Mytilus edulis: one gene and its partner. The protein of the gene in region 2 binds, or shares a complex with, the protein of the main gene of each other region. Links are inferred from orthologs where the notes say so. Each region holds a gene or a part of one and is shown on either strand. Other genes may lie near its edges. The genes, in order: vacuolar protein sorting-associated protein 8 homolog and vacuolar protein sorting-associated protein 33A-like.

Region 1 (17,040 bases), on a different chromosome or scaffold from region 2:
ATTGGCAATCATACCATATCTTCTTTTTTATATCTATGAGTTTCATGTGATTATGGTTTATCTTTCAACTTAACCTAATTAGTGAACCAGTTTTACAGTTTTTCAAGTTTATAAACCATATTCTGTTTAAAAAAATAATTTGATGAATGTTTTTATACTAGTATTACTTTATTTAAATAAATTATAAGTACCTGTGCAACATATTTGTAGCCTTCATTTTTTTGACAAACAGCAGCAGACAATCTGTGAGCTAAACTTCCACTCTCACTGTAATGCTTGTCTTTTGGGGCCTTTGATCGAACAGTGTTGTTAAAGCTTTCATTAGGATTACTGGAATCTAGTTTGCTCATCTTTCCCGGGTCAAGGTCTGTAAACACTTTTAAAAGATCTTTTTTCAAGTTTTCATCTTTGAGATCTGCACCCCATGGTAGATTTCTGTGCTTTGCTGTGGGTTTGTTTTTCATTTGGCACCAATCTCCACATCCATCATGATTACCAAACTGGTGTAGCACTACAGATGGTAAACTGTTCTTTATTCTGTCTGAGTCACCTTTGTTTTGGGCTAACATGAAAGAAAAACTTTTAATGAGAGCAGTAATTGTTTTTACAGACAGCTCTTTATATTTGCCTTTTATTTTGTGGAGCCTATTTGATATGTTCTTCTTTACATGATTGATGTCACTGACCTTTTCCAAACATGAGTCGACTTCACATCTTGCCCGATTGAATGCTGTGCAATCGTCATCTCCTATTAGTGTAATTACCGGGGTATCTTTCTTTTTGGCGTCTTTTAGTATTTCCACAATCATGTCTGGTTCCATAGATTTGGCTGAGCCACACCAATTCTTACGACATTTATGTTTTGTTGGTAGCCGTTTTTTAAATTTTGCCACATCACATTTCCTGCATCTCTTATATCGAGCACTATAGCCAACAACCTTTCCTGTTTTTTTCCCAATCATGGAAGCTGTTCCTACAAAAAAAGTTTTCCATTGAATATTTTTTTTAAATTACTGGATTTCATTAATTACGTGTTACACCCACTTTCATGTCAAAAGGAATCTAGCTCCTCATATATATTATTCACATTATTGTACCCTTCATAAAAATAGTTGATACCAGGAGTATTTTTAATGTATTTTTATTCAAATTTATTTCATTTTTATAACCCTGTTCATTTTTATACACATATGTTTTTCTGCTGGTGGAAAATATTCTTTTTTACCTCTATGCCTTTTTCAATTTAGTTTTGCCAACAAACATAAACATATTTTACATACAATTTTCCTTACTTACAAAAAAACCAAAAGAGAAAAAAAAAAGAAAATGTGGTATGATTGCACATGAGACAACTCTCCACAAGAGCCCAAGATGACATAGAAATTAACAATTATAGGTCACTGTACGGCCTTTAACAATGAGCAAAGCCAATACAGTATAGTCAACTGTTAAAGGCCCCTAAGTGACAAATAAATCAATATTGTCTGATGAAGTATTCATTTTGTCCAAGAAACCCGTAAAAGGTAAACAAGATGGATAAAATCCAATTGTTATAATTTCTTTAGCCAAATTCTTTTGCAAACGATGAATCTTTCATTGCAAACATTTTTTTTTCTTTTCCAAAATGTGTAAAAATGGAGGCTGCTTCCAAGAATGATATATCTGTTCAATATTTCTTAGTTTTAAGAAAAAAATAAGTTTTTTTTTTAGTTTTAGTATGACATGTAAACAGATCATAATCATGATAATACTTCCATCTTAAGATAGGTAAATAATAAAGATATAGTTACCAGACAAACTATTGTAACACCTTCCTGAGCCCCTTCTCTGATAAGCTCCGTCTGCTGATGCTGTTATTCCAGTTACACTAATAGGGCCACACACAGGATTAGTGTTATCTGTTGAAGCTATTCCACTACTGCTTGTTGCAGTTTCTGACCCACTAGCAATGGCATGAATTGCATCACTGTCATTATCGGCTTGTAAATTACCTGAAATGAAAAAATGATTGACAAGTTAAAAGATAAAAGCACTACATATGGACAGCAACCCTACAACAGGTCAGGCAATGTCTGATTCCCCTGAAAATTTAAGGGAATATAGATCTTGACCCCATGTCAAATATATACTAATTGCTTTAGTTTCAGAGTTATAAGCCAAAATCTGCATTTCACCCCTATGATTTATTTATAGCAATGGCAGCCATGTTTTTTTTACAAAAGAGAAAATAAAACACAAACCTTGTACTAAAGAAGGATAATTAAGACTTAGTTTGGTGTTCATTGTTTCATAGCAGGTTTTTTGAAAGTTAACAAACTCAAATAATAGACAAATTACATGTGAACAAAGCCAGATCTAGCTAGCCTCTTGTTTATCATATGAATAAAGTTCTATTTTTCTTTAAAGACTGACATATAAAAACTTATGTTGCGTTAATTATGATTTAAACTTCATTTCATGCTCATTCAAAATAGTGCTAATTTTCACACAACAAATCACATTCACATTAATATTCATGACATGTGTAGAGTGGTTCAATCCTTTGTAGATTGATATTCAATACTAGAAAATATCAGGCTTACACAAATCTGTCATTAAAGAGTCATCATTGATTTACTCACAAGTTTTTGTTAGCAATCCCTCCTCAAACAAAGCATTGTCTACGGACTGTTGTGCTATATTTTCAAGAATAGGCCCAACCTCTTCACAACGTCTTCTTATCAGGCTTTCACTGACATTTGGCAAATTTAGTGATGTAAATAAATTATTAAGCTGTATTGGTCCTATTCCACTGTGGTACATACCTGAAATATTAATTTTCATTTAAAAAATTGCAGTATTTGTATGTGTCAATACATTTATGTACATATAGGAATCTGATGTACAGTAGTTATCATGTGTTTATGTAATTTATACATGTTTCTCGTTACTCGTTTTTATATAGATTAGACCGTTGGCTCCAAGTTGAAGGCCGTACATTGACCTATAATGGTTTACTTTTATAAATTGTTATTTGGATGGAGAGTTGTCTCATTGGCACTCACACCACATCTTCCTATATCTAACATATATATATTTTAAAACTAAAAATTTGAACAACAGTACTAATATAAGGTGACATACTGCAGCTGTGCTATATGAGCAGTCAAATTGCATCAACTATAATTCATCTGTGATAAACAGTCAGTGATCGTACATGTATATATCCCCTTGTATATGACGTAGACAATGGGTTTCTGTACAGTTTAATTGATGACGTCAATAAATTATACAGGTTGGCGGAAATTTTACGCCTTTGGCTTAAAAGTAAGAAATGATAGTTTCTACTCTAAATACATCAATTAGATCAGTTATAAGAGTTGCAGTTTATAGTGAAACAGCATACCTTGTTTCGAAATATAAATTTTATTTGTACTTGGCTGGAAAAAAACTTTTTCTCGCCACAGCCTCGCTTTCTATCTGCTTCTACATGTTGTAAGTCTTGTACAAATAACATTGATATTTCGAGACATCAAAAGATAATAACCAAAGGCTGCAAAATTTTCCTAAAATTACTAATTCCGGGGCAGCAGCCCAACAACAAGTTGCCCGAATGGTCTGAAAATTAAAGGGCAGATAGAACTTGACCTACATGTAATGAACAATTTCATTAGAAAAATAAGCCAAAAAACTGCATTTTACACTATGTATTTTTAGCCATGGCTGCCATCTTGATTCATGGGGGGGGGGGGGGGGTCATGGGACACATCTTTTTAACAAGATACCATAATGATAAACGGAATGATCATGATGACTGTGGACAAGTTTGGTTAAATTTTTCTTAGTATAGTTTCAGAGGAGAAGATTTTTGTAAAAACCATGATGGACGCAAAGTGATGAGAAAAGCTAACTTAGCCCTTTTTACTAATTTATATCTTTACTTAAAATCTTGCCTTGAGCTGATAGACAATTTAATTTTTATGTGGTGTTTTTTTCATTAACAATTAGCAATTTAATGATCAGTATATATCTGGACAACTGATCTGTCAAATTAATTGCTATTTTTTTTTAAAAGAAACAAAAGTAATTTAATGATTTCAATACACAAATAATATAAATATAAAAAGTCTGGTTAAACAGTTTTCTATATATAGAACAAGGAGACTATATCAGACCCTAAAAAAAGAATAGGTTTGTTTGCCCTAATGCTACATGTACCTTCCTTGAAAATACTACCTACTTAAAAATCTTTTATTGTCCTAATGTGAAAATATTTATTTTTATTCAGATAGACATGAAGAAGTTATAAACATTGATACTTAAATTTCTCATAGCCAAAAGAAAAAGAAAAGAAATAGCCTACCTACATTGTAGCAACAAATATACCCACTTTCTCGATGCATAGATTGGGTACTAAGGGTTTTGGCAAACCAAAATATTTCTAAGTGTGGCCTCATTCTGACACCAAATTTTCACTGATTTTGGATATATCCACATTGCGTCACATGATGTTAAAGGTTTTGTTATAAGAGTCAGGGTTCTCACTAGGAATTTTTCATGGTGAGTCCTGGGACTCATCACTTTTAGAAATGGTGAGTCCCAAAAGATTTTGATGAGTCCAGGATGCAATGTATTTTTTTTGTGTCATAAGATAATGAAATGTGACGAAATACAACTTATAAAACGATGCGTGTTGGGTTGGTAGATTTTATTAAATCAATAAAAAATATGACTTCTTAATAGTTATTGCTCAAAATTTATACATGTTACAGACTTCTTTCTGGGTCTATATCATATCCTTGATGTGGGGCCACATTGAAAAAAATGTTGGTTTGCCACAACCAGAGTTCCATAAAAAAGATCAGGGCAATAGTCTGAGTATTTGGTGCATAGTACAGAATAAATTTAAAATGTACATGTACAGAATATAAAAAAGAAGATGTGGTATGATTGCCAATGAGACAACTGTTCACAAGACAGTTTTTACAACTAAAGGTCACTGTACAGCCTTCAACAGTGAGCCAAAGCCCATTCAGCATAGTTACATGTAGCTTCAAAAGGCCCTGAAAGCTATATCATAATTATGTCAACAAATTTAATCACAATCCCAATTCAGACAGTATCAAGCTGGAATATTGTGTCCAATATTGCCCCAATTGTCAGGGTTTGATAAGCGCTCAATGAAGCATTTTATTCTACTGTGTAAAGTACCTTTTCACTGGATGATGTAAGATTTTGGTTCTGTAAATTTGATTTTGTATTTTTTACATTCTTGCCCGACAGAAAAAAACCAACCAAAAGCAATAAACTAAAGTAACGATGATAGTCCGTTGGAAGGGGACGAAAATTGGCTGACCCGTGTTAAGAGAGAGTCATATCTCTTGCACGGAAGCAGGACAAGTCGCCCCACTGGCAAGTCGCCCCACACCTAATCGCCCCACTTTTTCACCAACTCGCCCCACTTTAAAAAAAAACGCCCCAACCTGGATTACCAAATCGCCCCACTTTTTAAAAAATCGTCCCACATGTGAAATTGGTTTAATCATGTTAAATATTTATTTTAACTCTATTCATACTTGTACTATTCATAAGTGGAAATATTAATACTCACTTCTTACTGCTATATTAAAAAAAGGGAATAATATAAGAAGTTTCTATAAGGTTTTCAAGGGGATAGCATCCTTTTCCATAAGTGGGGCGAGTTGGCAGGAGTAATATTCATGGAATTTAACTTATATACAATGGGATAACATCTTTTTCTACAAGTGGGGCGAGTTGGCAGGAGTAATATTCACGGAATTTAACTTATATACAACGGGATAACATCTTTTTCCATAAGTGGGGCGAGTTGGCAGGAGTAATATTCACGGAATTTAACTTATATACAACGGGATAACATCTTTTTCCATAAGTGGGGCGAGTTGGCAGGAGTAATATTCACGGAATTTAACTTATATACAACGGGATAACATCTTTTTCCATAAGTGGGGCGAGTTGGCATTACTACATTCATCCTGGTTAATAATATAATATAAATCTAGATTATTATCATTTTCTTTTAAGTGGGGCGAGTTGGCAGGAGTAATATTCACGGAATAACATCTTTTTCCATAAGTGGGGCGAGTTGGCATTACTACATTCATCCTGGTTAATAATATATTAATCTAGATATTATCGTTTTCCATAAGAGGGGCGAGTTCGCAGGAGTAATATTCACGGAATTTAACTCATATACAACAGGATAACATCTTTTTCCATAAGTGGGGCGAGTTGGCTTTACTAAATTCATCCTGGTTAATAATATATTAATAATATATTAATCTAGATTTTATCGTTTTCCATTCAGTGGGGCAAGTTTTCAGGAGTAATATTAACGGGATTTAACACATTTCACAAGTGGGGCGATTTTTTAAAAAGTGGGGCGATTTGGTAATCCAGGTTGGGGCGTTTTTTTTTTAAAGTGGGGCGAGTTGGTGAAAAAGTGGGGCGATTAGGAGTGGGGCGACTTGTCATGGATTCCTCTTGCACGTTAAAGACACCCTTGTAGATTTCGAAAAAGAGTAGGCTAATGCTACTACAAGGCAGCACTCGCAAGACATCATAATTATTTGCAGTCCAGGAATTGGTACTAGGTAAACATGCTACATGTGAATATAAAGTATAAATATACAGGGTGTGCAGATTTTATTTTTGCACTTACCAGTTGCAAGTTTGGTGTTGACATCAAATATCCTTGGCCCATGGGATGCATTGTGGGTTTTGCCCATGGCAACACGTACAAAGTCATTACAGTTATAACAACGAACAATCAGGTGACCACATAAACCAGCAGGCAAAATTCCAATTCCATCTTTTAACTTCAATGTAATGTCACATCTGGAACATCTCATATTATCAAAAAAGGTTTGAATGTCAATCACATGTCTGGTATAACCTATTGGCTTTAATTTTCCAGAAAAATAGAACTCATTGATCTCATCAAACGATGCAGAGGATTGATACGTGTGATCATGTTGGAAAGAACCTGGTGTAAAAGATGTATCAAAATCGGGCGTAAAAGTAGTATCAAAATCGGGTGTAAAAGTAGTATCAAAATCGAGTGTAGATGGTGTATCAAAATCAGTTGTGGATAAATCGGGTCTAGATATGTTGTCTAATCTGTTGTTGTAAGTCTCTGCCTGACAGTTTTTCAAAAACCGACCGTTCTTCTTTCTGCTAGGCATGTCGTCTGATATAGTTTACATTGCCGTAAATGGCGCGAAACTATGTCGTAAACAATAATAACAGTATAAATTTAAATAAAATATAAACTACGATCAAAAATTGATTTATTTTATCATTTTAGTTCCTAAAATAATCAGAAAAGGTATTGTTTATATTTATTTTATGTGTTATGTTATAACCGTTAAACCAACTACCGAAAAATGCCCGAGTTGCGCAATATTCAAAAACGCGTTCTAGATCGGGCCTCGTTAAGTAGCAAGGTTTATGCCTTTTTAAAATGCTATCTGTTTGCTGTAAATTCTATTTTAGTTGAAAAAAATGCAGTAATAATGGCTTTACTAAATGAACTGATACTTTCTTCACAGATTTTTCCCAGCAGTGGGAGTATTTTTCCTGTAAAGTTCAAGGTTTCATCTTTCAGATTATGTAATAAAATTCTTCTGTTCGCGATAAAAAATTCACTGCTCGGGGGTGTTGAAATTAGTGGGGGTTATTAAAATAATAAAACTTAAAGAAGTGACTTTTGGGAAGGAAATTGAGGTATGATACTTAAACAAGTGATTTTTATGTCATTATCCTAGATTCAGTACAAGGTCATCACCTGAAATGACTTGGTCATCCTATCAACACAGATGTTGTTTCTGATAATTTTAGAAACATAATTAGTCCCTGGATCATTAGTCATGTTAGTATTCTATATTTAAAGCTACGATAGAATTAAATCACTTCTTCAAGTGATTAATTTGTACTACTTAAATAGGTGATTATTAAAGAAAGACAACCTTACTTCCAACATTGATGGAATTAATGTTACTTGAATCAGTGATTTAGAAAATCACTCATTTAAGTAAGTCCCCTGACTGTTAATGTGTTACATACTATTTTTTTCGTTCATAAATTAGGCCCTTAGTTTTCTCTTTTGAATTGTTTTACATTTGGACAGGCCGTACAGTGACCTATTGTTATTAATTTCTTAGTTATTTAGTCTCTTGTGGAGAGTTGTCTCATTGGCAATCATACCACATCCTCTTTTTAATATTTACAATATTTTCATCCTCAGAAATAAACTACTGAGTCTGTCATGCCTGTCACTTTGATTTATAGTATGGATCCACTATTGAACTGATGAAAGTTCAATTGATTGTTGTAATGGCATTTGGGAGTTTTTCTATGACTCGTCAATACCATGCAGTGTAGCAAGTACAAATGGAAATATCTATAAGAGAGTAGTAATGATGGTATTGGGTGTACAATATACTTTCATAACGAATAACGGTGAAAATTCTTGCCAAATGATGTTTACAGTCATTTTTGGTGCATGACGATAAAATATGCATTTTTAATATTATAGATGATTAAAAAAGTTGCTCATGCCACATCTTCCTATATCTACTTAAATATTAAGACCTACTTGTGAAGACTTCACACTATAATACGTGACTATATCACACATAGCATGTGCCATATATTACCTCAATATCAAAATTTATTGGTGCTGAAGGACTAGATTTTTCTGAGCTACCCGAGTCCATAACTTTTGGGAGGAGAATCTGAAAGCCGGAAGTAGTAGAAAGATGGAAAAATTGAAACTTCCCCGGACACACTTCCGCACATAATGAATTATCACAGTATTTTAAATTTTGAAACAGACAGCTAAAACACCAACGTGTTTAGGTAATTATCATCTGATCTTACATTTTACAAATACACGGCCACACGGCACACGATCTACAAGAGATCGTGGCAATAGTATTAAACGAATATTTGATTTGGAAAAAATGTTGCATTTTGTTTCTCTCCCCTTCCTCGAATATCTCTTCCGATATGTTTTTCATGGGAACATACTTATAATTAGGTCCTTACAAATATGTCAATATATATTGTCCGTGTTTTTTTTTACCATAAGTTGCATACAGATACATTATTTAGAATCAAGGTAATGATTTAATGTTTAAAAATCAAAATTTATCTGTTTTGGACTGGTCCCTTTTGTTTTGTTTCTGCCTGAAGAATAAGTGATTGGGATATGTTCATTGGCCGATTAGGAAGAACTAATTTTGAAAACACTCAGTGACTCACACTGTCACAGCACCTATATATAGATACAAGGGTACCGTCAGTCGTCAATGGTTATATTCTCGGGGGGGCCACTTCAAACTTTTTTTGGTAGGGGTGAGCAGCTGAGACATCAAGTACCCCACCCTTTTCATATATTTTGTTAATAAAAAATATATACCTTGTCATATATTAATTTACCAAAAACAGACCTATAGATATATTTCAATATTTTCACCGCTCATCATCACGTTCTTCTTAGGAAGCAAAATAGTTGCAATAAAATCACCTTCTTTTCCAATAAATTCGTCATATCTTAAACACTTTTTTCTTATTGCCCGGCCATTTTACATCTTTCATTATGAAGATATCTCAATTCCAAAATACAATACATGTAAAAGACGTTTGGTCAGATCATAGATCTGCCTGGTATTACATCTATGGTCAGATAAATGTAATATCACCCCAGAGTGTAACACCTTCACTGATTTTTACATGTTTAAATATTAATTAAAAACTGATAAAAAGTTTCATTGCCGTTCCCTCGTAAAGGACGCTGTCACAATGGAATTTCTTTAAATAATTGTTATTTTGTTTTATGTATACAAACCCTTGAATGATAATTAGGTGCAAATGTCAAAATAGTTGGATTTATTGCATCTATCACGGGCATCAGTGGAAATACCACATCAGAATAAATAGAGTTTAATTGGTTTGACAAATAACTGATGCATTTACGACTGTGGTTTAACCGCATCAAGAATAAATACGGACATCTGATTAGTTTCAGATACTTATGATATAATCAAGCAAGTGATAATATCAACCTATTGATATATTTCATCTGAATTTCCCACCCTTTTCATATATATCATAGAGCATGAAAAAGTGACCTATTCCAGCGGCTCATCCCTACCACTAATTATATAGCAAGTGGCCCCCCCGAGGTTATATTAAGCTTCTGTTAGTCGTTAGCCTCAAATGGGTCAAGATTTCATTGCAATTCGTCAAAATATCCTTATCGTGATTTATCAGAGGTCTCAAATATTAAATTTTCATTACCGTTGTTTTGGGAAAATGGGTACATGTCGTTTTTGTAACCTGGTCCTTTCGTAACTAGTCGATTCGTAACTTACTAGGTTGTTTCGTACCTGATATGTTTTGTAACCTTATATCAAGATAAAATAATAGTATGAGTGGTAGGTTACTTAAAAAAATGATAAAAAGACCTATTGATGTACACATCATGGTGCATATATATATATCTATATTTATTTATTAAATAATTGATTGCACATAATTTTACACTTTACAAGTACAGTTTTTCAAGTAAAAGTCTGGTTTAAATTTCTTCACTATTTGGAGACCAAAATGTCGCAATGACTTTACTTTTCTCCCGCCTACACCATTGTACATGCGATATATACCTTGTGAAGCTTTGTTTCGACAGAACTTGATAAGTCAGATTGCGTTCTTAACATCCAATTTTCCAATCTTCGGATGAAACTGTGACCGATCACAAGCTTAAATTTCGAATCGACCCAGTGAGGTTAAGAAATGACATGCATCACAAGCTTATTTACTATTAGTGACTTTTTTTTCTTTTTAATTTAAGATAGTTTTAAATTAAAAAACCATTACCATGATTACAATATTGTTTTATTAGATTAACAATTTGATCATTTTAATTGTCATTTATAAATAATAACTTTAAGTGCTTCATTTAAACTTATTAATTTTAACTAACACTTTATAACCATATATAATTACACCAGGTACGAAACGTCTCAGTTACAAATTAACGAGTTACGAATTGACCAAGTACGAAACGACCAGGTTACGAAACGACATGCATTCGGTGTACATTTTTTCATGTTTATAAAATTGAGAATGAAAATGGGGAATGTGTCAAAGAGACAACAACCCGACCAAATAAAAAACAACAGCAGAGGGTCACCAACAGGTCTTCAATGTAGCAAGAAATTCCCGCACCCGGAGGCATCCTTCAGCTGGCCCCTAAACAAATATATACTAGTCCAGTGATAATGAACGCCATACTAATTTCCAAATTGTACACAAGAAACTAAAATTAAAATAATACAAGACTAACAAAGGCCAGAGGCTCCTGACTTGGGACAGGCACAAAATGCGGCAGGGTTAAACATGTTTGTGAGATCTCAACCCTCCCCCCTATACCTCTAACCAATGAAGTAAAGTAAACGCATAACAATACGCACATTAAAATTCAGTTCAAGAGAAATCCGAGTCTGATGTCAGAAGATGTAACCAAAGAAAATAAATTATGTTCATGCACCAAAAATTACTGTTAACGTCAAATAGCAAGAATTTTTAAGGTTATTCGTTATGAGGCTACTTCATTACAACCCTTCTATATTTATGAATTCTAGTTACCCCAGCACCAGTGATAGTCAACTTGGCAATTGAAGTAGTTATTTCGGCATAACCAGTCTGCGCCAAAAACTTTTTCATCTACTAGTCTGGATACTAAATATCAAAACTTTTCCCTATATGACTATTTAACATTTTGAAAATTTTCACTAGTCCGAAACTATATTTACTAGTCTGGGGCATCGGTTTAGTGGCTAACGGTGCAGACTGCATAACAAATACCTTCTGAACATGACGTCCTTCAAACGCTTTGAGTACACACCAGCGTCTAAGTGGTAAAATATGAATATATTATTGTTTGGGCTGTTCCGATCTTACTCCCACGTCATTTGCCTTTTTATGAATGAGCTAACCGACATCATAGAAAGATGACGTCAGAATATAAGCATTTTACGGGAAATTACACGCTTTTAAACCCGAAAATCATCACAACAAGGAAATGTAAATAAACGATGCTAAAATGTATTATTTAAGCCATTTTTTGTATACATAAAAGACATATAAGTACAATCATGACAATTATCATTCACATGATTTAGATTCATCTTAAACTATCTAAATATGTTATTGTGAATAGTTACATCATATCACTTATTCAGTTTTCTCTGTTCTTTTACATCAAATTAATAGTGCGTTTATTTAAAGGAACGGCATATAATGCCTTCACCTAGAGAGCTTTGATCCAAAGCAGTTGCTGTATTTGTCGTATTAGAATAGAAATAATTCATGGGGCTTGAATATATCACAGGTTGTCCCTTTATGCAGATATTTGTCATAAAGGGCCAACTTGTGGTAAAATCACAATATGTAAGCCCCCATGAATTATTTCTTAACTATAAAAGTTTTGTGAAATATTTTTCTGTACCAAAAATTTTATTGCATGTTATTTTAAGTCTAAATGAAATAAATGCTACATAACTAGTTTCTTAAACAATTTAAAATGTAAAAAAAACAATCTGCATGATGTGTGGCAAATTAAACTTTCAAGTTACCTTCAGACATGTCAGACTAACACCTTTACCAACTTATTGAATTCTTTGATTGTAAATTGGGTGTATGTTGGTCAAGTGGTTCATCTTCTTTATCAACTAAATTGTGCATTTTAATTCTATCCTATTTGAATTGACTACAGTTGCTTGTTTTCTGTCAAAGATAATGGTGGTTCTCTCTTTGTGTTCAGACATCCTCCAACTAATAAATCTTGCCATCACAACATACTCAATAGTGTTGTAATTAATCAACAAGCTATCAATCAATTAATTAATAACCAAGCTATCAATCAATTAATTAATCACCAAGCAATCGATCAATTAATGAATCACCAAGCAATTGATCAATTAATGAATCACCAAGCAATCGATCAATTAATCAATCACCAAGCAATCGATTAATTAATTAATCCCCAAGCAATGGATTAATTAATTAATCACCAAGCTATTAATCAATTAATTAATCACCAAGCAAGCAATCAATTAATTAATCACCAAGCTATTAATCAAACAATTAATCACCAAGCAATCGATCAACTAATTAATCACCAAGCAATCAATCAATTAATTAATCACCAAGCAAATTAATCAATTAATTAATCGTCAAACAATCGATCAATTAATTAATCACCAAACAATCCATCAATTAATTAATCACCAAGCAATCGATCAATTAATTAATCACCAAGCAATCAATCAAATAATTAATCATCAAGCAATCAATCAATTAATTAATCAATCTTTATTAAATGTTTCTAATTTCTCTTTTTTCTGTTTCAGGTAGCTGATAATATGTGTCTGGAAGATTAATCAACTTTTTTATGTTTTTTCTATCATGGATGCCAATTCAGATCTTGAGGAATATAGTTCGAATGAAATGTACATTTTACCGGGTGATGAATTGAAATTAGAACGCCAGTCAGAAGAAGATTCAAGAGAAAGCTCTTTTTGTGTGAGCACAGTTTGTGACAAAATTTTTGCTTGTTATGTTTGTTCTCAAATATTACCATGGGCCAGAGTTTCATCAAGAAATATGAGACCCTTTCTTGAAGGACAGACTTATATTTGCAATTATTGCGACAAAAAAAGTTCAGAGAATAGTCACAAACCTAAAAGTCTTTTGGATGACAGGGATAATGAGTCCCTCAAAGCAGCTATAATTGAAAGTATAAACAATCAAGGAATTAATTTTGACACTGTATACCAGTCTGGAATTATACATCCACCCTGTGATACCAGTATATCAACATCAAATCCTGGCGATGTCACACATACAAATTTAGAGGATTATCATCCCTCTCTTTCTTCAAAGGGAAGTAACCTATTTGAAGCTCATTCTTTAAAAGTTGGTAAAATTCAACATCAATTTGATGAAAGAAAACTTGAAAATGAATTGAGAGAAAATTATACAAAATTTCAAACAGATTCTCAAGTCATAAATGTTAATGGAAATGCTGAAAAAGATTTAGTAAAAAAGTATCAGAATTTAACAGAAGAGATGTTAAAGCATGTGGAAAGACGTTATGAATGTTCTTTATGTGACAAAAAATTTAAACGTAGTGCTCATCTTCAACGTCATCTAAGAACACATACTGCAGAGGGGCCGATATTTAAATGTGATGAATGTGATAAATGCTATAGAGATTCATATAATTTAGTGCGACACAAAAAGTGGCATCAGAAAGACGTGATTCCATTTGATCCAAAACCATTCACTTGTGGCATCTGCGAGAAGAAATTCCGTGATAATTATGATTTGCAGCGCCACATAAGAATACACACAGGTGAAACGCCATTTAAATGCTACATGTGTGATCAAGGATTTATAGATAACAGGAGCATGCAAAAGCATGTAAAACAACACAAAGGGGAGAAACTCTGTATTTGTCCAATTTGTAAAAAGGGTTTTATTGATAATAGGGCTTTGAATAGGCATATCAGAACATATAATGGAGAACTTCATTACAAGTGTGATATTTGTGACAAGACGTTCAGTAAAAAAGCAGATGTTTTATTTCACATGAATACACACTCCAATAAACTTCAATTTAAATGCGAGTTTTGTAAAGAAAGTTTCAGATCTTTGAGCAATTATGAAATGCATAGGAAAATTCACATTGATCAGATAACATCTATTGTTGCTACAACATCAGGGTTAGGGAATGGGGAGGATGGGATACCAGATGCACAGGTAAATAGGGAGGAGTGTGGGTTAAAGGGGGAGTAAATGGAAAGGAATACAGTATAGTTACTTACAGATTCAATTTGTCAAATTAGTTGCGCATTTAGCCTCTTGTTTAAAAGAATACTTATTATAAGTTATATGGTTCCCTTCTAACCCCCTACGGATCGGTATAGGGTTAGTAAAATCCATGGTATTCAACAACTGATTGAATTGAATTTTTACAGAAATTGCAATCAATTATTTAGTCAATTTTATACTGTTATAATAGGAATAAGAGCAATCAATTGTTGTTAGGATTTTGACACTCATATATCTGTATATGTATGTTACTGTATCATGTGTATGTACTCAATTCACTTACTGTGACAATATTGATTAAATTGAATCAACTGTCTCGTCTGGTTTGCAATAGTAACATGAGTAATTAATATGTTCAATGATGTCAAAAAATGATTTGTTTAAAAATTGATAGATTTAATCTACTGTCTCATTCTGTTTTCAAAACTCACAATCGTTTCTGTCGTGATCAATCGTTGAACATTTTATCACAATAGCAACATTGAGCAAGGAAATACAATTTGTTAGAGTTGATCAATTTTTTCAACTGTCTCATCTGATTTTTAAGCATCACAATCATATCTATCTTATTCAATATTCATGATAGCTACTATGTTTTATCAATTTAATCAATTTATTGTGTTGATCAAGTTTATTTATACATGTAGTAACCAATTTTGATAAGTTGTAGCTCATGTACATGTATCTATCCTAACTCTTTTTACATCTCAATTGAGTTTATATTTGCTTATCTAACTTGATCCACCATATCAATGTAATTCTGTAACTATAAATGAAAAAAGAAAACATAAACTGAAACATCAGTTCTTGTGGTTATAGTTTAATTGTATTCTCAGTTATGAATTGAACAATATAAACTAAAACATTAAAGAAATAGAGCATCAACGCGACGCGACAAACGAAATTAAAAAAAATACAGTAATTTTTATTTACGCAAAATGTGATGCTATCCAAAATTTCTGGGTAGAACACTGAATGATAACTAATTAATATAAAGAGTGTTTGCAATTTTAAATGAGTTGATTGAGTTAATATATATGTCTGTGGTAATAAATTATGATCAGTCGTACAAAAATATGGCTTTTATTGAGTTGAAATTTGTAATTCAATCAACATGATCAATTAATCATTACAATCAGTCAGGGGTCCTACTTGAACAAGTAGTTTTTATTAAAATAAAGAAGTAATATTGATATATATACTTATCATGCTTATGTAAGTAAATTCGTAGGATTGAATTTTATCAAATGTTTATTTACTTGTACAGGTAAAAATAATGAATTAGTAATAGTTATGTCCCTTAGAATGTTAGACATTCAGATATTTTTACTTATATATATATGAAAAAGTCATCCTATCTTTTTTTTTCTTGAATTCTTAGAATTTCTTTGCAATGATAAATTTTAAATTGTCTGCCCTTCGCAGATGTCTTTACTAATCTTTTAAGTGTAATTTCATTATGACAATGAATGTCTGTTATCTTCAGATCACTGGTCATTTACAAGCCCCCAAGGAGCAATTTTTGAACCCTTCCCAAATACTTAAGATCTTTGCGCAATCAGTTTCTTTGTTGAATTAATGAGACGAAACATTGGACTCTGATAAAAAATTGATGTTTATTCATTAGGCTAAGCATTCGATTATGTATATGTACATGATGTAACAATCGATTTTTTTAAAGTAAGTTGTTTAATCTCATGGTATACATGGTACAATAAATTGTCAAATACTGTTCCTTAATCATATTAATTTAATGAATTAACACTCCAGCATATAACATGTATAACATGTATAATATGCCAATTAACAAAATGATTAACATCATGAACATCATAAATGAAATACTTTTTTAACTTAAATATATAAAATTTATGAATATTAATTCACTTATAAATTATTTGTAAACTATAACTTTTTATCATTGTTTATAATTAAAATTGCAGAAATGCTAATGTATTCTGTTGACGAATCAAGGGATAGTCACTAGCTAGCTAGCTGATAAATTTGGAGGTGGTGCTGAAAATTAAAAGAGAAACACCACCCTTTCAAATTTTGTGGTTGTACTGAATATGCATATTAACTTGGAAGTTCAAAGCAGACATCCATTATCATCATAATCAT
Region 2 (17,034 bases):
TTGCTGTAATTAATAAATTGATGAGATAAGTGAGAATTCTATCAATAAAAAAGAATGTGTCAGGGAACATGTATACCAATTTTTCAAGTTAAAAAGGGGCATAACTTTATACAGTAAATGATTCACAACCCTATTTCAAAATCCTGTTTTCAAGTTGTAGTTTTAGCATTGTATATGAGTTTTTTAAAATTTGGACACAACATACTTAAGCAAGAGTGTGGAAACAAAAACATTTGCAATTGGATGGACAGACAAAGATAAAGTAATATGTCCTCAACATTTTGTTGTGGGGGGCCTGGGGGTATACACATTTTGATAATCTTTTTGAATTACAGTGTTGAAGAAATAACTACAAAAACATTATCAGACATTACTTGGCACATGAACAGTTATCCCCCCTTGCTAAGTAAAAAAACATTCCACTGTAGTTAAAAGGGATGATTTGAAATTTGTGCAGGATATCAAACTTTTCACCCTTCTTTATATAGCATGAAAAGGGAGAAATTCAACACTTCACAAAAATTATATATCTACTCAAAATACCTTAGCACAGTCTCCTTTCCCACAAATATTAGGTATAACACCATAAAGCGTCTGTAGTGTCATCAGGGACTGAGCAGCATAATGCATGCTGGTAAAATCATTCTCAAGGTAACATTCCTGTGAATCAAAAGAAGTCAATTTAGTCTGTAGTTGCAGAAATGTGAGTGCATTATATTTATATACTGTGATTGTTGAACATGGACAAAAATGTAAAATCCTTTATTGTGATTTCAGGAAATTTGGTATGCAAGTAGTGCTATCATAACTTAAAATGTATGTTTTTATTTTTACAAAAACTCATCTCATTTAAATTTTCACAATAACAAAAACAAGCAAAAATTTCTGAACTTACTTCAATCTGTTTATGTTTTAATAACAAGAGTAACCAATCAATTTACATGAACTTCAACATACTATATTTTTACCTTATAATGTTACTAGTATGTGTAAAATGAGATCAAATATGAAGAAATGGACCATTTATAAAGTAATGTATTGTAAATCAACCAATTAACTTATATCTTGGAAAACAATACAAAATATTGAAATACAAACTACAAAAATAGCATGTTTTTTTCTCTTTGTTAAAGCAGTGTGGTGACCTATAATTGCATACTTTCTGGTCATCTGAACTCTGTTTGATAGTTATCTCATTGGCAGCCAAATACCATCTCTCCTTCTTTAATATTGTTTAATAAACAACTTTTCTGATATTTCTTTACACAAATGTATAACATTGATACTTCAAAATTAGTTACCTTAAAAGAATTATCCATTTCCATTGACATCAGGTCATAATCAAAAGGAATTAAACTCAGACTAAATTCTTCAATATTTGCCAGGGTACCGTATACACCTAAATCCTAAAAAAAAAAAAAAAAAAAAAAAAATAAAAGCAGTACTGTATAGGCCAATCAAAATTAATTGCTAGATTTTCATCCCCGCCCGCCCCTCTGAAATCGTCCCGCCCCGATTTTTTTTATTTAATAAAAATACGATTTCCGGATTTTGTTCATGTCCGTTACCGGGAACCATCGATAATTTCGTTTCATTCAAAACTTCCAGTTTCAAATTTCGTTTTTGTGTTTCATGTTTCTTCGAGTAATCTAACGAAAATGATTAAGTCGACACATGCTGCTGCTCTATGATGACAACATCGTCTATCGAGAATAGAGCTTGATAACGAGAAGGGCATGAAATATTTAATATACAAGTAAAACGCCTTGTCCTTGAACGCAAATTGCGGTAGTCACATAAAGTGAATCGAAAACCGTGTTGCTTTTTTTATTTATACAATGACTTTGTGTTAGGAAATTTGGACTGTGAATCGTAGAACAAATTGGTTAAAAAAACATGAATTGATTAAACAAATTGACACAAGCACGAACTTGTTTGATTTATGACCGTATATTGAGAGAAAACAGCAAACACCCTCTGTAACTGTCCCAATACCCTCAATTTAGTCATTAAACAACAATTACTTTTTGGTTAAATTCATGTTTTACATCATAATTACTTTCAACACTGAGTTTACATTTTATTCTGTACTCATAATACTTGTGTTGCATACAATTATACCAATACATTTTATTGATTTTATGGGGACTACAAACCATTGCTTAGAAAGCAAAATAAATTTGGTGTAGGTATAACCCAACTGAAGAGAGCATTTCTCTTCTTTTTGATGTATATACTATACATAGGTTTCTAAAGCGACAATTACATGTATAACAGTGGTTGCCAATCAGGGATTTTTATTTAAGAGTTTAAAAGATAGTGTAGAATTCCTTATACAGCATGTATATACATTATACAAGCTTGCTTTCCACTTGCATATACCCCGGGATATGAAGAACTCGTGACGAGGGTTTCATATGAAATAAAATTTAAAAAATAAAATCCTCCCACCCGCCCCGTTTTTTTCAAAAATTTGGATGAAAATCTACTAATTAATTTTAGTTGGCCATATATAAAGCAATATAAAACTCAAATAAAATTGTTTTCCACACAAAAAATTCACAAAAAAAACATTTGTTTAAATTTGGCTTGTGAATTCAAAACTAGAATCCCATTCTGAGTTCAGTTGGATGAAAAATACAAACAAAGTGATATAAAAAACCTCAGTCAAATCTAAATATTTCATTGTCCTTTACATTCTTTCCTCATTTCTGTGACTAATCATCAAGTATATATTTAACATCAGTACTGTTAAACCATTTACAGTATCTTTCAGTGGTTTTCACGAAATTTCTTGGGCTAAACCTAGCCTGCAGGTTTTTTTTTTTGCACTTTGTTATCCCAGATATTTATTCTTTGTAAATTTCAAAGTTGGTCACAGGAATATTTTCATAACTTTATCTAATCATAAAAAAAAAGTGAGAAAAAACACATGTGAAATAACTACTTATTCCCCTTATATCACTGGTCAGAAAGTCTCCCTGTTTTAATAGGATTCATGCACAGTTGTTCTTTGGGTACATTTGATTGTCTTTTTGTTTTGTTTTTCTCTCCTTTTCTTCAATTTGAAAACAGTAATTGTTTGTAATAGCACTTTACAAATTTGTACACTAACTATGGGTCATAAATAGTTGTGTGTGTATTTGATTTAGGCAATATTACTTGGGATGTTGGTTGTAGGTGGTATTTAAGAAGTCCCTGCCTACCCTACAATATCCATCTTAATAATTGCATAATCTTCAAAAACAGATGCTGAGAGTCTTGGAAAAACTTTTGTTAGTCAATTGGTCTAGCTGAGCTAAATCATTCATACCTTTAATCTTTTCTCACAAAGAAGGCTTTTTCTTGGGACAAATATGATGTGATATTCTTTCCTAAATCCTCCTTTTTGTTCTTCCCTGTAAATACATGTATAAAATACATACAAATTCCATTCATTTAATTAACACTGCAAAAGTTTTCAACTATCAAAATGTAGTTTATTTTGTCATGTTTATCCTGAACTACATGTACAAGCACACGTAAACATTTTTTTAAAAATTATTTCCTACACATTCTAAAGCTTAAATCAAGCTCAAAATGGAGCTTAAAATCTGGATTAGGCATTATTAAAATGTAGCTTGAATGTGCAACATGTTGTATATCCTTTTTAAACGAAATATCATACATCTTCAAGTACAAATTGTAGTATAAAAACAAGAAGATAGACTGTGTACCAGAGCAACATGTTAAGAGGATTTTTAACATGTTAGAACACATGCAAAGAATCAACAGGAAAACATATACAGTGGAGTCCCCGGTGTACGCGCGGCCGGTGATACCGCTCATTCGCTGATTTCGTTATATCAACACAGTAACGCAAATAAAATTGTTCTTGTTATTGTTTTAGCATTCCGAAGATAAAAAAGAATAAAATTGATAAGTTCCAGATTGAAATAGTAACACTAGCTTTGCATACAAATTACTCTGTTCCAAATCATACAGTTTTTGGCCTTACTTATAAAACATTGAAAGACAAACTACTCAGTGTTTGTAGTTTGTTGCTATATATCATATTTGTTTTTCAATTGTTGTTTTATAAACAAATACAGCCTTTAGTTTTCTAGTTTGCATAGTTTTATATTTGTCATTTTTAGGCCTTTTACAGCTTACAATGCACTAAAGTTTTGTTCATTGATGGAAGCCGTACAGTGGCCAATAATTGCTTTTATCTGTGTCATTTGAACTCTGGTGGATAGTTGTCTCATTGGAAATCATACCCCATTTTCTTATTTCTATACTGACTGTAATAAATTCTGTGCTATGAGATCCATGAGTTTCAATCTTGGTCTGGCTATAAATATAATATTCTGTACATTACTTGGTGGTAGACCAGAAGTCTGCAGTGGAAACATCTTCTCAACTTCATGTTCCTATTAATAGAAACATAAAAATATATATCGAAATTGTTAACAAAAAAAGTAAAACCGTTCTCTTAAAAATTGTATAATGGTAGATATTTTGCAGAACCATAAAGTTTTTGCTTCCCTTTATGCTAAACTCTTAATACACTATCACTTATAGCAACATATGTAAAGATGTCATGCAAAATCTAAACTTCTTGGTTTAAATTTGTTAGATATCAATTAGAAAGAATTCAATTAAACAACAGCAAAATAGCATTTCATTCCACTTGCACAATTTTTGTGTGAGGCACAGAAACTAATAATCAATGTCGGTTAAAAGCTCATCAGAGCTTATGATCAATGTTTTAGTTTGCATACTTTTCAGACTCTAAATAAAGCTTTTATCTTATTATTTATTACCAATATGATGCAATAAAAGCAAAATATGCATATTGTTCCTGTGTATTTTTTTCCATGCATAAATCTTTAAATCTTTAATCACCAACATTATTTTAGATATAAAATGTCATTGAAATATGGAACATTGAATGTTTTCATATCTGTATGTATTTTGGTAATAATTGAAAATGTGAAACAGGGTGATTATGAATGACTTGTGACAACAATCTTTCTTTGTCATTTGTTGCTGATAATAATTTTGATTTCCATTTATTGTTTTGTACATAAACATGATCTGGCTGTTGGTTTTCTCATTTGAATTGTTTTTCATTTATCATTTCAAAGCCTTTTATTTCTTGCTAGTAGGTTGGCTTGTAGTTACTAACTTCTATGTCATTTGTTTACTGTAAATGAGGTGGATGGTTTTAAAAGCCAAAATACATATATAGAAATATCAAGAAATCAAAGGAAATAAAAAAAGTTATTTTCTGAACCAAAATTCATTGTATTACTAAATTTACCTTCAGTAAAGAGTATTCTGCTATTAAACCAAAAGGTCCAGTCAAATCATTATCCCATACTAATGCCTGAAAAATTAATCACTGTTATTAAATAAATCCTAGACAATATAACTTCCTATTCTTGTACCAAAGAAGAGTAAATTTAAATTGAATACCTGCTACACTTCCATTGAAGTCATAAATGTACATGTTTAGAGTCTACAAATTAAAGGAACATTAGTTTTAATTCATATTCAACATTTCAAGTACTCACTGTAAAAACATTTGTTTTTGAAACACTAACCCAGTATCTTTATTGTCTGAATACAATAATTGTGCTCAAAATTTTTATGATCGAATTACAAGAACTTTAAGAAGTCAAATGTTGTTGTGTCAAAATATCAGTTGTCAGCTGCTCTATGGTGGGGTTGTTGTCTCTTTGGCACATTCCCAATTTCCATTCTCAATTTCATTAAAGTTATTTGGAAAAAAACATAATGATTTTCTGACCTAAACATGTGAAGATGATCTACCATGTTATTTCTATTCTTTTTGGCCTCCATAGCAATCTCTAAAAAAGGTAGAGATTGGTTTTGGGGAAACAGACAATATGTATTCTATTCTTGGCCTTTATCAGTTTCAGATCTGTTTTAAAAACAATCTAAGTTTGAAAATATCAATACCATAATGAAACAAATACATGTGAGAAATCAGTGAAGGGTTATACTTATACAAGTAATTTATATTCACTTGTAGATGTCAGATGTATGCCATTATTTGATATATACTTGTGTTATAAAGTAAATCTGTAAAATTTATATTTTTTTTCAAGATTTGAATAATCTCCCCTTCTCCAAAAGTGTACCTGTATATATACAATGATATGAGTACATTGAAGAAATTTTATTTTGAAACCCCTAAAAAGTTCTAAAGTTAAAAACTGGCCTGAAACAAACAATTGGACTAGTAATATGTACTAACTAATAAAAAATGAAGACATTTATTTTATATTTGCAATACATACATTTATTTATACATACAATTTATTTACTGTAATTTTTTTTATTTACAATGACAATTTCTACAAATCAAGTACATGAAGTAAGTGGTTTTTAAAGTCCGACACATTTTTGATGAACGAAATTGCGTCCGCCACGGTTACGTGTACATACAGAAGTTCTTAGTATTTAAGTTACAGTTAGCAAACTTTGCTTTTGATGTATCAATTTGGGTCAAGTTGCATAGCTGTAGTGTATGAAATTTATGTCTTGATTTTGTTTAAGTTTGACGGTTTAAAACGCATCCCAATTTTTTAAGTTTTTCACCCTAAACAAAATTGGTTCAAAGTATAATGACAGTAATAAGAGTAGGTGTGCAGTTAAATACTTTAAAAAAGAGAAACCATTGAACTATATGTTTCGCCTTTGACACTCCTAATCTTGAGTATTATCTTTAAGAACATCAAAACCATTAATACGTAAAACTATTCAAGTTAAACACCATTTGAATGTTGATTTATAATATTAAATTTATCAGTATTACAAGTATTGTTTAGTACATATGAAAGAATTAAGCAAAACAACTATAGAAGATTTAAGTTTAATAAATCTAGCGTACATTGCTGTTTTTCATGTAACAATAACGTAATGTAACCGTAGCCTCAGTAATTATTGTTACATTCGTAATTAATCGGTTCCACACCCAACTTTGCATTCCGGCAATTAGTCTCCAATGTAACAATAATACTTTTATTATTGTTACATTTCCATGTAACCGTAGCCAGTGCCTAGAGATTTTAATCTGACATAAGGAAAAATGTGAAAACATGAATTGAAAAAGAAGTTTTTTTAGGGGTCGCCCAAAACTAAGACCTTCAACTTAAGAAATAGGTTTCCTAAACCATTAACACCACTATAGATTGACTTATTTGGATGGTAGTATATAGCCTTATCTGGTGCTGATCTGTAAATATATTATTTGGTTTCCGCCCCCTTAGCTTACTCTTATGTCCATTGGGGTAACTAGAATAAACCACACATATATTGATTATGAGTCTGCTTGCCTTAGAGCCAAGACATTTGTCAAGAGCTTCTAAAAGCTCACGTCTGTAAAAATCTCTCAATAAACTCAGGTTTATTTTCCCACTTGACAGGTGAGAACCTCCAGTCGAAGCCATGATGGAATAAATGTGATTACCACAAACAGAAAAGTTTTAATGTAAGAACGCAACGTCCCAATTTGCTAATGTTGCTATCTTCTTCTATTGCATGGATGTCCTTTCACAATCATGGAACATAAAATACAGCTGTGTGTGTCTATTGAAACGCATCACACAATTCTATTTTAGTCATAAATCTAAAAGGACTCTTTTAAACAGTACAAATTAGGGGTTGGGGTTGGGGGGGGGGGGGGGGGGGTATTTTTTGTTAAATATAATGTTAATTCCCTGGTAAAAGAATCTCTAAAAACAAACATAAATTTACATTCTGCAAGAATTTATTCTTGGTACTCATTTGAAGATAATTACTCTAATATTAATGTACCTTTTAAACAATCTAAAAACGATTTAAAATGTAATATCAAAAAGTGTGATATAGTAGTTTCAGTTCAGATGAATATGAAAAAATACTTTAAATAAACTTTCAAAAATGGATTCCTCATCTAAACTTTGTCTATAAGAGAAATTAAAAAATAATTTTGAGTCTGAGGTATGATTTAAATTCAACTAAATAATTTTGTCATAGGCAGTTACTCTCAAAATTTAGACTTAGTGATGATTCCCTAGATATTGAATTGAGAAGGTATACGGAACATTCCAAGAACACAAAGATTATGTAAAAGTGTGGAGTCCTAGATGACGAATTCCGTTTCTTTTTGTAATGTGACACTACTAACATATCATTTCGTTCTAATCTGTTGCAAATCTAAAAGAGTATGTACCATTATTTCAAAGTCTTGATGCATTTAATAAACTAAAACACATTCTAAACCACATCCCTGAACTTGTTTGTCATATTGGAGTCTTCATTAAGCAGTCTTTAGAACTGAGGGGGTCAGACCCATGTCAAACAAGCTTATGATGGTTTACGTTTTTTTACATAAATTTATAATTGAACTATTAAAATTATTGTATTACATTGTATTGCAAGCGTATTGTATATAATTGTTTGATTGTATTGCCTGACCCTTATGGGTGTAATTTAGCAATACAGATTATATATAATTATACAAGGCAGTCTCTGATTATATGTATAAAGTTAGAGTCTATGAGGAGACTTTTTTACAATAAAAGTTCAGCGGGAATAAACTTAAAATTCAAAATAAAATGTTCTTGCGTTTACCAGTTTGTGCTGTATTTCTGTTACCCAATAAAGCCATGCAGTGTTGTCATTTTCGCGATATTTTTTTTTAAACATTGTCATAAAGCAGGGGGTTTGGCTAGCCATTTAACCAGGTTCAACCCACCATTTTTCTGAAAATGTCCTGTACCAAATCAGGAATATGGCAGTTGTTATCAAATAGTTTGGCTTTTTTGTGCTTTCTTTTTTGCACTTCAGTGTCCTTTGTTTTTCTCTAGTTGATGTGTTTCCCTCAGTTTTGGTTTGTATTCCGGATTTGTTTTTTCTCAATCGATATATGACTTTTGAACACCAGTATACTACTTTTGCCTTTTTTTTTTATCATGTTATACACTTACAGTATATACGTAAAGCGTGAAGAATGTCCTGTCTATAGAAATAAGAGTCCTGATCATGTGGTGTGAGTGACAATGCACGGAGACAACCTTTTATTCAACTCACAATGTGTAAAATTACACAGTAATAGTTCAAAGTACGGCCTTCAACACGGAGCCTTGGCTCACACCAAACAGCAAGCTATAAGAAAACCTCAATATCACTAGTGTAAAGCAATTCAAGCAGGAAACCCAACGGTCTTATCTATATAAAAAGGAGGAACGATAAGTACTTATGAACCACATAAAAAGGGATATACTTATTCAAAAATATATAACTGTTCAGTAGCCACTTTATATATAATGTCAATTTATAGATTATCTCCTTGTATGCTATATTCGAGTCCTAGCTTTTAAAAGTCTGAATCAGGGAGTATGAAATTTGTAACATACACTTGCGGAAAGATTACGGATTTTGATAATGTCCTTCTTCTGGAATATTACACAGTTGTTGCCGGTGAACAGTTGATAACAAGCTGTACATTCCAAGTCTATGGTCCAATTATATTTATTGTATGATATTTTCAGCTCTCGAAAGGCTTATTGTCTTTACTTATATAGAGCTGGACAGTCTAGAAAGAAATTAATCTTATCTTCCTTGTCTAATTTACAGCAGTTTGGGTGCTTCCTGGGATGATTTTCCCTGGCCAACCAACATGACCAACATGGCTTGAAATAAAGCATAAGGGGCAAATGTAATGTATGTCTTTTATCTTATAGATATAGAAATAAGTCAGATAGATAAAATCGTTAGTCAACTCCTAAGAGGAGTTATTGCTATATTCAAAGACAATTTTCACTTTTGTGCGTTTTTGCCATCTTGAAAATTTTAATACATAAACAGAAAAATGTAGATAAAAAAAGAGGACACACAATTTAACATGGTCGGATTTTTTTAATCAAGTCCTATAAAAGTCATTGTCCTTATTTTATCATTATGCCTTTTTTTTTTAAGCATATGCCTTTTCCAGTACGGTGACCCCATGTTTTTATTTTCTTATTTTATTTCAAATACGAAAGCTTTTATCGAATTCTTATCTAGAAAACATTGATCAATTCATTTCAAAACTATGAGAAAAAATACAGGTATTTTACAAGAGGATAAAAATAATATATAATTTCTACTAACAACAATAATCTTTTATGTGATACAGACTGTTTATGAAATATTACAATGTCAATTATTACAAGTTATGTTGGCTATTTCAAAAGCTTTTACCTACAGCCTAAAGGGTATAAGATTTAATGGCGATATTATTTAGATCCGAATACAAGGATAGTCAGGCTTTAATTTCTACATTCTTCTTTATTGTAAAGCAGGATTTTCTGGTCTTTTCCATCAAAAGCTATGTTAGATAATATGATACAAGTGATTGGCAACTCCATTTATGAATAATGACCATATCTTACACACTCCTCAGTTGGATATGGTTTAAAAGGTCTTAAATAAACGTTTCTTTTAGTATATAGATATTATGAATGATGATAATTATAAACGTTCAAAATTGATATCATGGTCTGATATTGAAATTTGAAAGAAGACGCAGATAAAATTGAGTCGACTATGTTGTTATGGTTCCTATTTCTGTCTTGTAACGTTAAGGGTTGATAATAAAAAAAAAATGTATGATTTTATAAACCATATCAAATCAAATAAAGTTTGCACTAGCTTTTAAAGCTTGAAGACAAGCTGGGTGAGATGTTTTTTTTTTATCCTATTCTATTGATATTGAGCAAAAAACAATATAGCTCTGTAATTTTTATTCCCCATCCCTGTTATTATTCTACTATTCTAGTCAGTGCCAGGTGTGTAAAGACTAACACCTTTCATTTATAGGCGGCATTTATATACACTTTAAGTTACCGTGAAAATTAATGTAAGCTTTTTATATATATGTACAATTATATGATAAAGAATTTTACTTAAATAAAAATTAAGCATATTGAATGGTGCAATTAATTTACTTTCTTACATTACTTTGAAATAACTTTGTTAATGGTTCTTTGCTAAACTTTTTGTTGGGAGACGTTATTATTTTATTAATGTTAGAAAAATAAAACACAAAATCTTCAAAATTTTGTTTTTAAGAATATTAATTTTAGACAATTAAAATAATATTTAATCCTTAATGATCAAATATATTTGTAATTTATCAATATCTATTGGAAATAACTGAAAAGTAAACCGGCTTTCAATTTAGGATCCCTGTATTTCCGGTGCATTTGTTTACCAACAAATTAGCTTCAAAAACAGACGAAAGCAACACCCTTTACCAGTCTACATACCAAAGAACAAAATTAAAGCACACATGACCTATAAACCATAAAAAAAAATATATCTGTAATGGCACTTCCGGTGGTCTTGAATACAAAATGATGCGAATATGATAATTGGTTCCTTGTTTAATCAATATTCATGGATGTTGATTATCTGTGGTAACTGTTCCGAGCATCTTCAATACACATTGTACTGTGGGCTAGTACTATAGGAGTTCAGGGGCTTATGATTTAGTATGAAATATTAATGTTACATCTGGGACTCTTGGACTCTTCTGAGCATTCAGCAGACCTGAAGCTCAAAATGGAAGGCCAGAACCCAACAGGTGAGGTTTATTGGTTAAACTTTTGATTTATTATATTATGATTTCAATTTTCAGCCAGTATGCTTTTTTATTAGAATCCTTTTTATTAAAATAAAGCATTTATATTTTCATTTAATTTTTTGCAGAATCAGAAAACCGACAGAATCTGTTAAGAGCTGTCAAGAAAGAGGTTAGTTGCTATATATGTTGTTAACTTTGTGTAACCACAAATAACATCCCTTTGATATTGATACAAAAATCAATAGGATAATTTATGTTTAATGTGTCACTGGAGATGTAATTACAGTTTTCAATTGATTAATTCTGGGACAACAATCATAATACCCTGATTTTCAAAGATAGCATAAAAGAAAACGGAACGTTAATTAAAGATATTTTTTTTACAAAGATTTTTCCTTTGATATCAAACAGATATAAAAATGATATGTTTAATCTTGGACCAATAGATTCATGTTTAACACCAGATTTAGCATCTTAAATAAACAGTTATATTTTTATCAGGCCTGTCAACTTTTTCATAACACAAATTTTTTGTGAATTTTTTATTGGACAAAAAATTGTATTAGCTCACACATCAATTAAGCAGCAAGCAAATCTAAATTTTCATAGCACGTACTTCATTCCATACAGGGGTAATAATATATATAACATTTTGCAATGATTGATTGATAGATTGTAGTCCAGTAGCAAATATTTCATGCATAATTAAGACAAAGCAAATTAATTCATTTATTTGTGTTATAGTCTTTATAGTGGGTCTCATTGGGGTCTAAGTGTGACGCGAGATTGCCAATTTTTTGTAAGCGGGACACGTAAAAGTCAAATTATTGTGTCGTGAAAACGGGAAATGAGGTCTAGTGGGACCTGGGAAATGACAATTGCTTACATACATAGTGTAAGCGGGATATGGGAAACTGACCAAACAGTAAGCAGGATCCGGGATGGGAACCCCCCCCATGAGACCCCCTTTATATTGAAAAAGTCTTTAGTTTTTTTGCTGTAAAGTCATTGTGTCGGTTATTTTCTTCATATAAATAGTGAATTGTTGATAATAAGAGATAGCTGTACAAAATGTAACTTATATACAGAATGATTTATAAGGGTAATGCTGTCATTTTAGTGATACTTTTAATATTGTTGTATTAAAGCATAAGGTTTGGCTAGCCACAAAACCAGGTTCAATGCACCAATTATTCTTAAAATGTCCTGTACCAAGTCAGGAAAGGGCAATTGTTATCTTATATAGATATAGGAAGATGTGGTGTGAGTGCCAATAAGACAACTCTCCATCCAAATAACAATTTATAAAAGTAAACCATTATAGGTCAATGTACGGCCTTCAACACAGAGCCTCATAGTTATAGTTCATTTCTGTGTGTGTTGCAATATTGTTTTTTTTTTTTTGTTGCACTTCAGTGTTTCTGTTGTATCACTTAAAGGATCTACTCTGGACATTTCAAGCTTGACACATAATGTGTAAATATTTGGTCTATTGTTGTAGAAATTATACAGATTTGTATGGTTGAATACTGAACACCTAACTCTAATTGTGACATGGTTCAGTTGCTGTCTTAAATATAAAGTCCTTACATCTGTTTCATGTATTTGTAATTAAAGTGCCCATTCTTTCAGCATGTTCAGCTGAAAAATTCCCATGTGACATGTGCATGTGATATGTCCCAAACATTTTTTAAAAGAGAAGGTAACCTTTGCATGTTATTTGCATTCTTGATTGATTGATTGATTGATTGTTGGTGGTTTAAAGCCACTTTTTAAGTACATGTACCATTTTGGGCTGTTTCTTGGCAGCCAGTTTTTAGTGGTGGAGAAAGCTGAACGTTCTGGAGAAAACCACTGACCTTTGATAGGAAACTGACAATCATTTAATTTAAGATTGGAGTCAAGTGCACCAGCGTGGTCAGGGTTCAAACTCACAACCTCAGTGTTGACTGGCTGACAACTTGACCACCAAGGCCCATTTTGCACAGAGTTTTCTACTAAGTCTTGAAAAAATGTTGCCTGCTCTTTGGCATGTTTGGTCGGGATGTTGTCTCTTTATCATATTCCCATTTCCATTTTCAATATTACTTGTTAATAAGAACAAGTAAGTCCATCTATTATGTACATGTATGAGGGGTAAAATTCATGTTTTATTTTTTTATATTTTTGTTTTATATGTTATCTGCTCTTTGGTCGGGTTTCTGTCTCTTTGACATATTCTATATTTCCACTCACATTTTCATTTCAAGTTAAACCCTCTAACCATGTTGCTATCAATTGTTATTTGATTCAAAGATAATCTATATATATTTCACCTGCAGAAATACCAGAGTCAATTTTAGAATTGCTAGAATTTGATGATAAATAAAAAGTGGAGGCTGAATTCATGACATGGAAATGTCAACTGTTTTATTAAAAGATCAACTGATATTTTTAATATAGATTGAATGCCTTCTTTTAGCTCACCTGGCTTGAATGGCCATGTGAACATGCGCAATCACTTTGTGTCCATTTTCTGTCTGTGTGTTGTAAACTTTTTTTTTTAAATCTGCTCAATGGGAATGAAGGGTTGATACCAAAGTTTGTTTGCTTCATCTGTAGAATGTCAACTATAAAGTTTGTGATTTTGTCCATGTTGATCAATCAGCATGGCTGCCATGTCTAAGAATAGAACATAGGGAACAAACTGAACATGCTTCATATTTGGCTAATGTTTAAAACTGTAGGATTTAGAGAAGAAATTAAACAGGTGATAAGCACAACAATTTTTATTATAAACCCTGTATAATTTGAAAAAATCTGTCATGCTACATTGTATATTGGAGTTATTGACCCTAAAATTTTATTTATTTTAACTTTGTTTGCATTTTCTTGCTGTTGTTTCAAAAAAAAAGTAACTATAGATTGGCTATTTTATAAGTGATCTAAAAAAAATCACCACAATAAGATGTATTCACTGAGAGATTATTCTAACTAGTTATAGCCCTGGGATATCGACTTTATAGTGTTTCTGATCCTTCATAAAATTGAGAATGGAAATGGGGAATGTGTCAAAGAGACAACAACCTAACCATCATGACTATAGAGCAGACAACAGCCGAAGGCTACCAATGGGTCTTCAATTCAGCTAGAAACTCCCACACCCAGAGGCGTCCTTCAGCTGGCCCCTAAACAAATATGTATACAAGTTCAGTGATAATGGATGTCATACTAAACTCTGAATAATACACAAGAAACTTAAATTAAAAATCATACAAGACTAACAAAGGCCAGAGGCTCCTGCCTTGGGACAGGTGCAAAATTGTAGCTGGGTTAAACATGATTTTTGAGATCTCAACCCTCCCCCTATACCTCTAGCCAATGTAGAAAAAACAAACGCTCAACAATACAGAATGTTCCTTCTTCATCCTTCAGGTTCCTCTTTCAATATTTTAGGGCCTCAGGTGGCGAAGTGGTCTAAGTAGTTCATCTAAAGTGTGCACTATGAGACTAACCCTTCCCTACTGGTTGCAAGGTGTGTTTGACTCTGATCTTAATTGCATGACTTTGATAACAGTTTTCCTACTGAACTTCAACAGTTCTTTCCATGTTCTTGGTTTGCTCCATAAATTAAAATGGCAGCAATGAAATAGCTATGGGTGCTGAGAGAGATGTTGAAGACAAACTATCAATCAGTCAATCATATTCAATACTTATCAATCCCATTTACTAAATTGACTGTTAATTACTATTCCCATGAGATATTTGTTGTAAATGATCAATTAATTCCCAATCCACCATTGAACCAGTCTTGTTATTTTAGGTAAAACCAATTAATTGAGAACCTGAAATTATCGATTATTTAAAAAAAATATATCCAATAAAAGAGAAATCTTGCTTTGTTGCACTTTCTCTTTGAAATTCAGAAGACAGTTTTTTTGTACAATGTATAGCATTATGTCAATTAAATATGTCATATTGAAAAATATTTCATTATCTGGCTAGTAATAATTTAGCAAAAAAAACAGACTTCAATGAAGGAAAATCAGGGTTTCATCTCTTAGAAAAAAAACAGGTTTGTCATAATATTTTTAGTTGTTTTTTTTAACTACCAAAGTGTAGATCGAATATATGGTAGGTAGTGAAATGAAGCATCTTTTTCCAATTTGATGATTTCTGGTTAGAATCTCAAAGAAGACTGTAAGATTAACATCATCCCCAGTTTTTGGTGGGGTTAGTGTTTCTTTGTTTTTATCCCCCTGCCATGAGGGGAATAGATAATAAAGTGTTACCCTTGACAATCTGTCTGTCTTTCCATCTTTTTATCCTTCTGTCTTTCCGTAATGTCATATTTTTAGTTACAAGCTTGAGGGGGATGATATGTGTTCCATGATGACACAATCTTCTTCTTTTTCTTTCTTTTTCTTTATTAAAAAAAATTTCTATCGAAGGTCATGGTTTTCTCTGGGCACTCCGGCTTCCTCCACCAATTGAAAACTGGCCGCCACGAAATAGCCTGAAATCTTTTATTTAAATTAATGTAATGTTTTGTAGACTGTTGTGGTTTATATTTTCTATCGAAGTGGTTTTTTTTTTTGCCTTTATTTTGTTGGCCTCTCTCCGATTTATGAATTTTGATTTTCCACTTTTATAAATGTTATCAGCCGCTGTTGTTTACTTGTTTGATATTTGACATTTATATATTTTCACAAGTCATACAAAAAAATCAGGTCAATATTTAATTTCTATTTGGAGGAAATTAATATGGAAATCTAACATTCGCATCAATTATTGTCATATGTTTTATACTTGTAAACATTATGTCAGAACAAAAACGCTTAATTTCATTACCATGACATGCTTATGAAAACTGCCATTCTAATGTTTGTTTTAGAAAATGACCCAAAAATCAATACACAAACGTGTAAATCAATGATTATAGCAGTTTCCTAAACGCCCACGTATATATGTCATAATCAAATTCCTCAGTAACAAATTCTGAAGTCAGAAGATTAAAAAAATACATTTGTCTATCACAACGATAGGTCAGTTCCTGTCCATTAGGATTCTGTAATCTATTTGTCGGTTAAATGGTAATTGTGGTTGGAAATTTATAAGGTTGTGTTGTCTTTCAATAAATGATTGCGGTGAAAATTTTATGTGGTTGTTTCAGGTTACTTGATAAAATCCAATCACAAAATATTATTGGAAACAAATACTCAGAGACTTGCTCTTAAGAGAAAGTGTCTTATCTTGTTTTGAAAATAAGTTGACTAAAAAGATTTTGTTGACTGTATTGATTGATTAATGTAGAAAAGATAAAATGTAATCACAAAAAAGAAATTTGAGTGGTTATTTAAAATTTTTGTAAATATTAAAATAAGAAGATGTTATATGAATGCCAATAAGACAACTTTCCATCAATCCATGTTGAA

Evidence for each region.
Region 1: vacuolar protein sorting-associated protein 33A-like (region 2) and vacuolar protein sorting-associated protein 8 homolog share a complex: the UniProt entries of both Drosophila melanogaster proteins name them as parts of the class C core vacuole/endosome tethering (CORVET) complex. The link is inferred for Mytilus edulis from reciprocal best matches to the Drosophila melanogaster genes car and Vps8.

The regions. Positions count from the first base shown.
Region 1 is NC_092357.1:11,534,028-11,551,067, forward strand, and holds the start of vacuolar protein sorting-associated protein 8 homolog, read right to left. Parts: upstream 8,921-17,040; 5' UTR 8,736-8,920; coding exon 8,676-8,735; intron 7,229-8,675; exon of another isoform or gene 7,203-7,228; coding exon of another isoform or gene 6,680-7,202; intron 2,805-6,679; coding exon of another isoform or gene 2,622-2,804; intron 1,992-2,621; coding exon of another isoform or gene 1,791-1,991; intron 974-1,790; coding exon of another isoform or gene 192-973; intron 1-191. Other genes in the region: uncharacterized protein, read right to left, coding at 192-973, 1,791-1,991, 2,622-2,804, 6,680-7,202; zinc finger protein 572-like, read left to right, coding at 13,492-14,883. UniProt on the Drosophila melanogaster protein: Part of the class C core vacuole/endosome tethering (CORVET) complex involved in endo-lysosomal vesicle trafficking and lysosome biogenesis by facilitating docking and fusion of endosomal vesicles.
Region 2 is NC_092349.1:42,681,840-42,698,873, forward strand, and holds the start of vacuolar protein sorting-associated protein 33A-like, read right to left. Parts: upstream 7,477-17,034; 5' UTR 7,461-7,476; coding exon 7,347-7,460; intron 5,372-7,346; coding exon 5,306-5,371; intron 4,413-5,305; coding exon 4,285-4,412; intron 3,399-4,284; coding exon 3,314-3,398; intron 1,407-3,313; coding exon 1,302-1,406; intron 661-1,301; coding exon 544-660; intron 4-543; coding exon 1-3. Other genes in the region: small G protein signaling modulator 1-like, read left to right, coding at 11,542-11,620, 11,746-11,789. UniProt on the Drosophila melanogaster protein: Core component of the class C core vacuole/endosome tethering (CORVET) and the homotypic fusion and vacuole protein sorting (HOPS) tethering complexes involved in endo-lysosomal vesicle trafficking and lysosome biogenesis.